Pelodiscus sinensis: one gene and its partners. The protein of the gene in region 1 purifies or fractionates together with the protein of each later gene. This does not show direct contact. Links are inferred from orthologs where the notes say so. Each region holds a gene or a part of one and is shown in the gene's direction. Other genes may lie near its edges.

What was found.
Region 2: the proteins of DAXX (region 1) and DNMT1 purify together in Homo sapiens (affinity purification with western blotting; 4 studies listed by BioGRID, with this or other methods). This does not show direct contact. The link is inferred for Pelodiscus sinensis from reciprocal best matches to the Homo sapiens genes DAXX and DNMT1.
Region 3: the proteins of DAXX (region 1) and HSPB1 purify together in Homo sapiens (affinity purification with western blotting; 3 studies listed by BioGRID and IntAct, with this or other methods). This does not show direct contact. The link is inferred for Pelodiscus sinensis from reciprocal best matches to the Homo sapiens genes DAXX and HSPB1.

The regions. Positions count from the first base shown.
Region 1 is NW_027465970.1:8,318-12,058, forward strand, and holds the start of DAXX (death domain-associated protein 6), read left to right. Parts: upstream 1-1,195; 5' UTR 1,196-1,299; coding exon 1,300-1,512; intron 1,513-1,839; coding exon 1,840-2,151; intron 2,152-3,741. UniProt on the Homo sapiens protein: Transcription corepressor known to repress transcriptional potential of several sumoylated transcription factors. Down-regulates basal and activated transcription.
Region 2 is NC_134729.1:15,028,546-15,032,286, reverse strand, and holds the start of DNMT1 (DNA (cytosine-5)-methyltransferase 1), read left to right. Parts: upstream 1-1,606; 5' UTR 1,607-1,651; coding exon 1,652-1,707; intron 1,708-3,741. UniProt on the Homo sapiens protein: Methylates CpG residues. Preferentially methylates hemimethylated DNA. Associates with DNA replication sites in S phase maintaining the methylation pattern in the newly synthesized strand, that is essential for epigenetic inheritance.
Region 3 is NC_134731.1:15,444,065-15,447,805, forward strand, and holds the start of HSPB1 (heat shock protein beta-1), read left to right. Parts: upstream 1-1,475; 5' UTR 1,476-1,546; coding exon 1,547-1,940; intron 1,941-3,741. UniProt on the Homo sapiens protein: Small heat shock protein which functions as a molecular chaperone probably maintaining denatured proteins in a folding-competent state. Plays a role in stress resistance and actin organization.

The DNA.
Region 1 (3,741 bases):
TGGGGGCTTGGCGTGGGGGAGGGGCGGGGCAAGGAGGGGAATCAGGGCTGGGGGCTTGGCGTGGGGCGGGGCGGGGCAAGGAGTGGGGGAGGGGAATCAGGGCTGGGGGGCTTGGCGTGGGGCGGGGCGGGGCAAGGAGTGGGGGAGGGGAATCAGGGCTGGGGGGCTTGGCGTGGGGCGGGGCGGGGCAAGGAGTGGGGGAGGGGAATCAGGGCTGGGGGGCTTGGCGTGGGGCGGGGCAAGGAGTGGGGGAGGGGAATCAGGGCTGGGGGGCTTGGCGTGAGGCGGGGCAAGGAGGGGAATCAGGGCTGGGGGCTTGGCGTGGGGGAGGGGCGGGGCAAGGAGGGGAATCAGGGCTGGGGGCTTGGCGTGGGGGTGGGGCTGAGGGAGGGGCGGGGCAAGGAGGGGAATCAGGGCTGGGGGCTTGGCGTGGGGGTGGGGCTGAGGGAGGGGCGGGGCAAGGAGGGGAATCAGGGCTGGGGGGGTGGGGCTGAGGGGGGCAGAGCAAGGAGAGGGGGGAGGGGAAGCATGGTGGTGGGACTGAGGGAGGGTCAGGGCAAATGGGGGTGGGGGCCTGGCAGGAGTGGGGGGCAGCCCATCAATCTGGGATGGGGGGGTGTATAATCAGTGGCCTGGAGCTCCTAGCCTGACACTTGCTCTTAGGGTGGCTGCCCCCTGGGATGTGGAAACCTGGGAGTGTGGTAGGAGCACAGGGGATACTTTCCTTCTGCACCAGCCCTGGTGCCACTGCTGCTAGCATCGTGGGCCCAGCTCTGCAGCCCACAGTTCAGGATGGATGTGGCAAAACTGGAGCCACAGGAAGGGCTGGAAAACCAGGGTCCAGGAGTTCCAGCTGTTTAGCTTTGGGAGGAGACCATGAATGGAGTGTCTTGGTAACAGGCTCTGGGTGCCTCCATACAAGCCAATAGAGTCTTCAGTGTAGTGGAGGAAGATCTGCCAGGACCAAAGGGCTGGGACTTGAAGGGAGATCCATTCAGTTGGCAGTAACGGACACGTTTGTACCTTGAGGGCCAGACCCAGGGGAGTAGTCTCCCTGGGCGTGGGCCAGTGTTTGATCGGAATTGGATGTTGGCTGACAACTCTGCCCCAGGAGCCGTGTGGGGGAAGTTGTGTTCTGAGGATCACAGCTGTCCCTCTTGGCAGTGTGTGAGTGCCAAGACTGGGGGCAGTGCTGGGCAGGGCTGGGGGGAGCTGAGCAGACACTTCCTTGGTACTCGGGTGGGGAGAGACTGTATCCAGTCTGTCTTGCTGTTCTTGACCTGGGCAGATGGTTTGTCCATGCTCAGTTCTGAGGTGTGTCCCCCACCTTGCAGCTGTCAAAATAATACATCATGTGGGAGATATTGTGTATGTCCTTATTCTTCCACCCCTGTTTTCCTTTGGTTTGGAGGCCCAAGGCAGGAGATTGCTGGGGGGGGGGAGGGGCACCCTTTGGTGTCGTCAGAGAGATCCCAGGAGCAGTGCTTGGAAGATAGAGCCTCCATAAGCCAGGTATCTTGGACCCTTGTCTGCATGCTGGGACTCTGTACGGGGTGGGTACGATGCCTGTGCCTCTGGGGGGTGTAAAGTCTGCCGATGGTGATTTAGGAAGAGTACTCGGCAGGCAGGGGGAGGTTGGGATCTGGGATGGCACAGGATAGAGGCTGTGTATGAGGCTGCAGGGAGAGGCAGGCGCTGGATTCCAGGATGGTGGCTCTAGGACAAACTCTGGTTCCTGGCTGGGACACGGGAGTAGAATTGGCATTGGGGGTGGGTGCTGCGCATGGGGTGAAGAAGAGATGTAGGGACCAGCACTCACCAATTCATCTCCCCACATAGGCACTGCGGCGTGTGACTCAGACCACCTGCACCGGGGGTTACTCCCCATACCTGCCCCCAGGATGCGCCCAGCCCTCAGGCCTGCCCCGCAGCTCTGAGCCCCAACTTGGCCAGGTACCTGCGCCCATGGCCACTGCAGTGGCAAGCAACATCATTGTCCTGGATGATGAGGAGGAGGGGCTGCCCCCAGCTACGTCTCCAGAGCCCACCCCTGCCTCCCCCCAGCCCAGCGGGGCCTCAGACAAGAGACCAGAGCCTGTGACGCAGGATGGTGGCAGCTTCAAGGCTGAGAACGAGCGGCTCTTTGAGGAGGTGAGAGCCCTTGGCAGGGCCCCACCCTCCATGTATCGCCTAACTCCTCAGCCATGTCCTCGTGTATCCCTTCTCCATATTCTCTGCCCAGCTCAGCCAGCCAGGCCCCGCCTCTGGGGCTGTATGGGAACTGATGCCCCTAGAGTGCCCCATTTTCCTCGCCAGCCAGCCTGGGGGGCTTGGGGTGTATGGTCTGTCGGGCCTAAGTCTGCTGGACTGACCCTGCCTGGTCGGTGAGTCTGAGCCCGGCCCACTCCTCACTCTTGAGAAAAGGGCTTGGCAGGGAGGCGCATGGGGCCCACGACGCAGGCAGTCCATCGCTTGTGGCCTCTGTGAGGACTGAGAGCAGCTCTTCAGGGCTGACGCAGCTGTGGGGAGGGGGCTCTTCTCCAGTGCCTGGAGCTGGGCCTGTGAAGCAAGGTCCTGTCCCTCCAGCCACTCATGGGATGGGGCCAAGCCCTCTCTCCGGAGCTGGGTCTGCTCCCCAAAGAGCCCTGAGACATGGCCTTGCTGCCCTGGGCTATGACACTGCCTCCCCGACCATGTCTGTGTCCTGCGGGACCCCCACTGTCCATGTGACCGTGTCTGTGCCCTTTGGGGCCCACCCCTGCCGTCTGTGCGGAACCCCCCCCGCCATCTCTGTGACCGTGTTTGTCCTGTGAGCCCCCCCTTGTTGTCTGTGTGACGTGTCTGTGTCCTTTGGGCCCCCCCCCGCCATCTCTGTGACCGTGTTTGTCCTGTGAGCCCCCCTTGTTGTGTGTGTGACCGTGTCTGTGTCCTTTGGCCCCCCCCGCCATCTCTGTGACCGTGTTTGTCCTGTGAGCCCCCCTTGTTGTCTGTGTGACCGTGTCTGTGTCCTTTGGGGCCCCCCGCCATCTCTGTGACCGTGTTTGTCCTGTGAGCCCCCCCTTGTTGTCTGTGTGACGTGTCTGTGTCCTTTGGGCCCCCCCCGCCATCTCTGTGACCGTGTTTGTCCTGTGAGCCCCCCTTGTTGTGTGTGTGACCGTGTCTGTGTCCTTTGGCCCCCCCCGCCATCTCTGTGACAGTGTTTGTCCTGTGAGCCCCCCCTTGTTGTCTGTGTGACCGTGTCTGTGTCCTTTGGCCCCCCCCGCCATCTCTGTGACCGTGTTTGTCCTGTGAGCCCCCCTTGTTGTCTGTGTGACGTGTCTGTGTCCTTTGGGCCCCCCCCCGCCATCTCTGTGACCGTGTTTGTCCTGTGAGCCCCCCTTGTTGTGTGTGTGACGTGTCTGTGTCCTTTGGGCCCCCCCCCGCCATCTCTGTGACCGTGTTTGTCCTGTGAGCCCCCCTTGTTGTCTGTGTGACCGTGTCTGTGTCCTTTGGGGCCCCCCCGCCATCTCTGTGACAGTGTTTGTCCTGTGAGCCCCCCCTTGTTGTGTGTGTGACCGTGTCTGTGTCCTTTGGGGCCCCCCCGCCATCTCTGTGACAGTGTTTGTCCTGTGAGCCCCCCCTTGTTGTGTGTGTGACGTGTCTGTGTCCTTTGGGGCCCCCCCGCCATCTCTGTGACCGTGTTTGTCCTGTGAGCCCCCCCTTGTTGTCTGTGTGACGTGTCTGTGTCCTTTGGGGCCCCCC
Region 2 (3,741 bases), on another chromosome or scaffold:
CGCGTGGCACAGCCTGATGTGTGGCACAGCCCAGCACGTGGCACAGCCCGATGTGTGGCACAGCCTGATGTGTGGCACAGCCCAGCGCGTGGCACAGCCCGATGTGTGGCACAGCCCAGCGCGTGGCACAGCCCGATGTGTGGCACAGCCTGATGTGTGGCACAGTCCAGCGCGTGGCACAGCCCGATGTGTGGCACAGCCCAGCGCGTGGCACAGCCTGATGTGTGGCACAGCCCAGCGCGTGGCACAGCCTGATGTGTGGCACAGCCTGATGTGTGGCACAGCCCAGCGCGTGGCACAGCCCGATGTGTGACACAGCCCAGCGCGTGGCACAGCCTGATGTGTGGCACAGCCCAGCGCATGGCACAGCCTGATGTGTGGCACAGCCCAGCGTGTGGCACAGCCCAGCGCGTGGCACAGCCTGATGTGTGGCACAGCCCAGCACGTGGCACAGCCCGATGTGTGGCACAGCCTGATGTGTGGCACAGCCCAGCGCGTGGCACAGCCCGATGTGTGGCACAGCCCAGCGCGTGGCACAGCCCGATGTGTGGCACAGCCTGATGTGTGGCACAGTCCAGCGCGTGGCACAGCCCGATGTGTGGCACAGCCCAGCGCGTGGCACAGCCTGATGTGTGGCACAGCCCAGCGCGTGGCACAGCCCGATGTGTGGCACAGCCCAGCGCGTGGCACAGCCCGATGTGTGGCACAGCCTGATGTGTGGCACAGCCCGATGTGTGGCACAGCCCAGCGCATGGCACAGCCCGATGTGTGGCACAGCCCAGCGCGTGGCACAGCCCGATGTGTGGCACAGCCTGATGTGTGGCACAGCCCAGCGCGTGGCACAGCCCGATGTGTGGCACAGCCTGATGTGTGGCACAGCCCAGCGCGTGGCACAGCCTGATGTGTGGCACAGCCTGATGTGCGGAACAGCCCAGTGCCTGGCACAGACCGGTGTGTGGGAACCCTGGAAGAGCAGTACCACCCTCCCACCTTCATGGTACATCCCAAAGGTCCTGCTCACTTGGTACATCCCAACCCAACCTCCCTGAGGTTGGTACATCCAGCTCCCCCTGTACTACCTTTCCCGTGGTGCATTCCAACCCTCCCTATAAAAATGGTACATGCCAACTGTCACACCTCTGCCCTAACTGCACTTGGTACCTCCCACTATGATGCATCCCAACGGTCTCTGCTCTGGTATAGGGCCATGTGGTACGTTCCATGCTCCCCCAAGATGGTATCTCCCGTTTTACACACTTCCCATCCCCCTGCCCAATTAGGATTTCCTATCCCCCCCCCCCCCCCGTCCCTGGGTGCACGTGTGACATTCCATCTCCCCTGTTCCGTGGAGATGGTTCGGCTCGTCCGTCACTCGCCGCATTCATGTTGATTCCCCGTCGAGGATGGTACATCCCACCCCTCTGCCCTGGGTGAGCATGGTACATCCCATCCGCCCCGCTCTCTTTGGTACCCGCCTTGCAAGGCCCGGCTCCCCTCCCGCATGGTTTGTCCCACGTCCCCCCCGCCGATGGAATCTCCCAGCCCGCAGAATGGTACAACCCTCCCCCCGCGAATGGTATCGCCCGCCCTCCCCCCGCGCCTGGTTTCCGCGCGAAACAGTCTCCGGCCCCGGCTCCCGCCCGCGCCCCCGATGCCGGCCCGGGCCGCCCCCCCCCCCGCGCCGCTGCCGCCCGAGCTGCGCCGGCGGTGAGTGACCCCCCCGCGAGCCCCCCCCGGGCCAACCCCCCCCCCGCCAACCGCCCCCCCGCGAGCCCCCCCGCCACCCCGGGCCAACCCCCCCCCCGCTAACCGCCCCCCCGCGAGCCCCCCCCGCGAACCCCCCCCGCCACCCCGGGCCAACCCCCCCCGGGCCCCAACCGCCCCCCCCGGGCCCCAACCCCCCCCGCCCCGCCAACCGCCCCCCCCGGGCCCCAACCGCCCCCCCCCGCCAACCGCCCCCCCGGGCCAACCCCCCCCGCGAGCCCCCCCCCGCCAACCCGGGCCAAACCCCCCCCCGCCAACCGCCCCCCCGGGCCAACCCCCCCCGCGAGCCCCCCCCGCCAACCCGGGCCAACCCCCCCCCCCGCCAACCGCCCCCCCGGGCCAACCCCCCCGCGAGCCCCCCCCGCCACCCGGGCCAACCCCCCCCCGCCAACCGCCCCCCCGCGAGCCCCCCCCGCCACCCCGGGCCAACCCCCCCCGGGCCCCAACCGCCCCCCCCCCGGGCCCCAACCGCCCCCCCGGGCCAACCCCCCCCGCCCCGCCAACCGCCCCCCCGGGCCAACCCCCCCCGCGTGCCCGCCCCGCCAACCGCCCCCCCCGGGCCCCAACCGCCCCCCCGGGCCAACCGCCCCCCCGCGAGCCCCCCCCGCCACCCCGGGCCAACCCCCCCCCCGCCAACCGCCCCCCCGGGCCAACCCCCCCCCGCGAGCCCCCCCCGCCCCGCCAACCGCCCCCCCCCGGGCCCCAACCGCCCCCCCGGGCCAACCCCCCCCCCGCCAACCGCCCCCCCGCGAGCCTCCCCCGCCCCCCCGGGCCAACCGCCCCCCCCCGCCAACCGCCCCCCCGGGCCAACCCCCCCCCGCGAGCTCCCCCCGTGAGCCCCCCCCGCCAACCGCCCCCCCTTGAGCCCCCCCCGCCAACCTCCCCCCCGCCAACCTCCCCCCGCGAGCCGCCCCCCGCCAACCGCCCCCCCCGCCAACCACCCCCCCCCCCGCGCTGCTGTCGCCCGAGCTGCGCTGGCGGTGAGTGACCCCCCCTCCAACCGCCCCCCCGGGCCAACCTCCCCACCCGAGTGTCCGCCCCCCGCCAACCGCCCCCCCCTCGCGAGCCCCCCCGCCAACCGCCCCCCCGTGAGTCCCCCCCGCAAGCCGCGACCCCCCCCACCAGTTTCCCCCCCGCCAACCACGACCCCTCCTGTCCCCCTCCGCGACCCCTTCCGCCCCCCTCCACGAGCCTGACAGTCCCCCCAAGAACCCCTCCCCCGTCCCTCGCCCTACCCCTGAGTTTTGGTCCTCCCAAGTCTGCAGCCTCCCCCACTTACCCCCGTGTGACCCTCGCACTTGCCCCCCCAGGCTCCCCGCTGCCAGCCCGTGAGGGTGACCCCGTCTGAGCCCCCGGCCCGCTGCTGCCCCCCTCATGGAGACCCCCGTCTGAGCTCCCTGTTGGGGTCCAGCCCCCCAGGCCGTGGGGCTCTGCTCTGTTGTAGATGGGCCGGGGGTTCACCCTGCTGGGGGCTGGTGCTCCCACGTCAGCCTCCTTCGGGGTGCGCCCTGCGGCCCCAGGGGTGAGCGTGGGGGGGATCCTTGGGAGTTATCGGACCCTGACCCCCCCCTTGTCCTGCCGCAAGCCCCAGAGCCAGTACGGGTGGGTCCAGGCAGGGGCTGCACCCCACCCCTGCGTGGCACGGGCTGCTTTGTCTTCCTCCCGCCTCGCTCGCAGCCGTTTAGGACAGGACGTGGAGGAGAGCCCCAGACCCGCTCAGAACACGGGTGCGAGGCTTGGGGGCAGCAGTGGTTTGCTGTTTAGGACAGGACGTGGAGGAGAGCCCCAGACCCGCTCAGAACACGGGCACGAGGCTTGGGGGCAGCAGTGGTTTGCTGTTTAGGACAGGACGTGGAGGAGAGCCCCAGACCCGCTCAGAACACGGGCACGAGGCTTGGGGGCAGCAGTGGTTTGCTGTTTAGGACAGGACGTGGAGGAGAGCCCCAGAGCCGCTCAGAACACAGGGGCACGAGGCTT
Region 3 (3,741 bases), on another chromosome or scaffold:
TCTGGAGGTGCTGGTACTACGACTGGAGGTGCCAGTACTGTGTCTGGAGGTGCTGGTACTACGACTGGAGGTGCTGGTACTACGACTGGAGGTGCCAGTACTGTGTCTGGAGGTGCTGGTACCACGACTGGAGGTTCTGGTACCACGACTGGAGGTGCCGGTACTGTGTCTGGAGGTGCTGGTACCATGACTGGAGGTGCTGGTACCACGACTGGAGGTGCCAGTACTGTGTCTGGAGCTGCCGGTACTGCGTACAGGACAGTACCATCACAAAAAAAGCACTGGGTGGGCAGCTGCCATCCTGCTCTGTGCAGTGCACTCAGCCAGCACGCGAGTGGGTGCGCCCCCTCCTCCCCGAGTGGAGAGCTAATCCCCAGCTTCAGCAGAACTGTGCGAAGTCAGTGGAAGGAGCTGCTGCACTGGTAATGAGGTTGGGGACAATGTTCCCCCCCAATTTCTTCCAGGTGCAGAATAAATTTTGCTATGCGCGCCAAGGCATGTGCACCACCAGTAGGAACACCCGCTGCCGACCGACTACGGGGGCTCTGCTAATCAGCTGGGAAGTATCTGAACCTCTCCTGCATGGCCGCCCAAGCGCTCAGCTTCCAGGGAACACTGGCTGGGGGGCAGCCTAGCTCCAGGCTGAGAGTGATGAGACTTGGGAGCTGGCAATCAATCGCCTTGTCATGGGCATGGTGGGTGGGCACCGGATCCTCTGCAGCTGGTCCCAGTAAGGACGTGGCAGGTTTGATACCGGATCCTGCCCTGCCCCGCGCAGGCAGTGTGAGAGGGCTCCTTGTGTACCGGCCCCTTGCAGCCGGACAGGGCACAGGGTGGGGCAGGGGTGCAGGGGGACGCTGGCCCTCCTTTGGCAGCTGAGCTGGAGGCAGGCTGAGCCCAGCTTGTTCTCTCACTGCTCCTCAGCCACCCACGGACTGTATCTCACGGCTCTCCTCCTCCTCATTCCCCAGCTCACCCCCGCCCCTCCCTCCTCTTTCCATTGCCTCCCATGTGCTGCCCCTGCCCATCCACGCAGCCATGCGCTTCTCAGTCACTGCACCATCCACCCTCCCACACCTCGCAGCCCCCTCCTCTTTCCCCACCTGCACCCAGCCCCATTGTACAGCTGGGGAACTGAGGCCCAGAGAGATTAAGTGACTTGCTCAAGGCCACACAAGCAGGCTGTGGCAGGGCCCAAGCCCTAAACTCAGCTCTCCTGAACCCCAGTCGTGTCTTCACTACCCAGCCAACCCACTGCAGCCAGATACTGGGGAGCCAGCACCCTTCCCCGCTTCTTTGCAGGCCCAGCGTAGCCGTGGGATGACGAAGGGCCTGGGAGGACGCGGGCAGAGCCTGACAGCTGACCTGCTGCTCATCAGCAGTGACTGGCCCGCATGTAATCTCCATGAATAGCCAGCTGAACTGCCTGGCTAAAAATAACCAGCTGCCTTTTCATAAGGGGCCAGCCCGCGGGGCTGCTCGAGAGACGCCCGCTCGTTCCCCTCCCGCCACAGCCAGAGCAGCCAGGCCAGAGCAGGAGTGCACCATGTCAGAGCGCCGGGTGCCCTTCACTTTCCTGCGCAGCCCCAGCTGGGACCCCTGGCGGGACTGGTACCTGGGCAGCCGGCTCTTCGATCAGTCTTTCGGGATGCCCCAAATGCTGGAGGACTGGTACAAGTGGCCGAGCAGCACCAACTGGCCGGGCTACCTCCGCCTGCTGCCCAGCCAGGCCGCCGAGCCGCTGGCCGTCCCCAGCCCCATCGTCACCTCCCCCACCTCCCCTAACCCTGCCTACAGCCGGGCCCTGAGTCGCCAGCTCAGCAGCGGTATCTCGGAGATCCGGCAGACAGCGGACAGCTGGAAGGTTGCCCTCGACGTCAACCACTTTGCCCCGGAGGAGCTGGTGGTGAAGACCAAGGAGGGTGTGGTGGAGATAACCGGTGAGTGCTTCCTTCCGCTCCTCCTGGCTCTGGAGAGGGGCAGCCGTCTCCTGTGAGCCTGAGCTGTTCTCCCTGTGCTGAGCCCTAGGCCTGCTGCACATGCCCCCCCACAGGGCTGGATTACCCAATAGGCAGACTAAGCATGTGCTTAGGGCACCCGCAAAGCCGGGCCACCAAAAAAAAGAGATTTTACGGTATAGTATTGTTTTTATTTTGAATTACATGGGGGGGGCACCATCATCTTTTCAGTGCTTAGGGCCTCTAAAGGTCTTAATCCGGCTCTGCCCCCCTAGAGCAAGGTGAGTGACACAGGCCCCACTGGGCCTGGTCTGTGAGAGGTGGCTGCAGCCCCCCTCAGGCCGGCCTGGCTGCCGCCTGTGGCCCCGGACGGCCAGGATTCAAAGGCTCCATTCAGGCTGGAGGATTCCTCCTGCCGAGATGGTGGGGCACTGGTGCACCCTTCACTCTCTCGAACCTCCAGCCCTCGACTCGGCGCCTCTCACTATATCGCTCATGCCTCCAAGCGGGCCGTTGCCTGCCCCCCCTTATTCCCCCATCCCCACAGCCTTGAGGAGTGGATGCAGCCAGCCGGCCCCCTCTGTTTCCTGTGAGGGGCCATGTTCCACCCCACCGCACGCTAGGGAGCCGCTTGCTCCAGCAGGTCGAAGAGGGAAAGGGCTTGCTCAGCCACCTAAATCCATGCAAGCCATGGGATGGGGGAAGACTACGCTTGTTATTCCATTCCGGCTGAATATTTGTATTCCAGACCCCTCTAGAGACCTCAGCCTAGAGCAGGGCCCCCTTGGGCTGGGTTCTCTACAAACATAGTAAGAAATAGACCCTGCCCCAACAAGCAGTTGGTCTAAATAGACAAAAGGGGAGGAGGGAAACTGAGGCAGGGGGCTGTAATATAACTTATCACCCAGCAGGTCTGTGACAGAGCTGGGGACAGACCCCAAGCTTCAATGAGTCCCCGGCTCACAGCCTAGCCCCCAGCCCTCACTACCCCCTAGGGCCCTCTCTCGAAAGCGAGGAGCCTTGTACCCTTGGGGGGTCTGGGCCCGAGGGCTTTCCAAGTTCACACACGCCCTTAGCAGTGAGTGCTCCGGCAGCCTGGCGAATCTCCTCTAGAGCATCATTAAAGATGGTGGCTTCACTCTCGGGGGAATCGTGTGGGCCTCGCTGCTGGATTTGAATCGTGACCCTTCCAGCTTTTTCTCTCCCTCCCTGGCTCAGATCCCAAACGAGAGCTCGGCAAAACATCTCCCAGCCCAGCAATCGCCATCACAATGGCAGGGAGCAAAGCCGAGGGTGCGGGGAGGAAGGAGGAGTCCCCTCACTGCCGTTTTCAGCCACTTCTGCAACACACTGCAGGCTGGCCCCCTCTGGTCCGGGACTCTGGGGTCCGTCTTGCCAGCAGCTGGGAGTGGTGCCAGGCTGGCAGCCTGCGGGACCAGTGTCCGGGGGATGGGGAGCCATACCAGCAGCCGGAGTGGAGCCCTGGTGGCCAGTGGAGCTGGTGGCTGGGGACAGTGGAGCCCCAGAGCAGGTGGGCCGGGAGCAGTGTGTTGGAGGAGAGCCCCAGGAGAGCCCAGAGGCCTGACCTCCCCTGGTCGGGCAAGCCCCTTGTTTGGGACCTCTCAGGTCCCCAGGATGCTGGACCGGGGAGGTCCAACCTGTAACGAAATATTTTCAAACAAATGTTAAACTAAGGCCCTGTGGCCTCCCATGGGACATTCAGACGCTGTCAGTCTGGACCAGGGGTGGGCACATGCGGGTGAAATGGCTCCGTTGCTGCTGG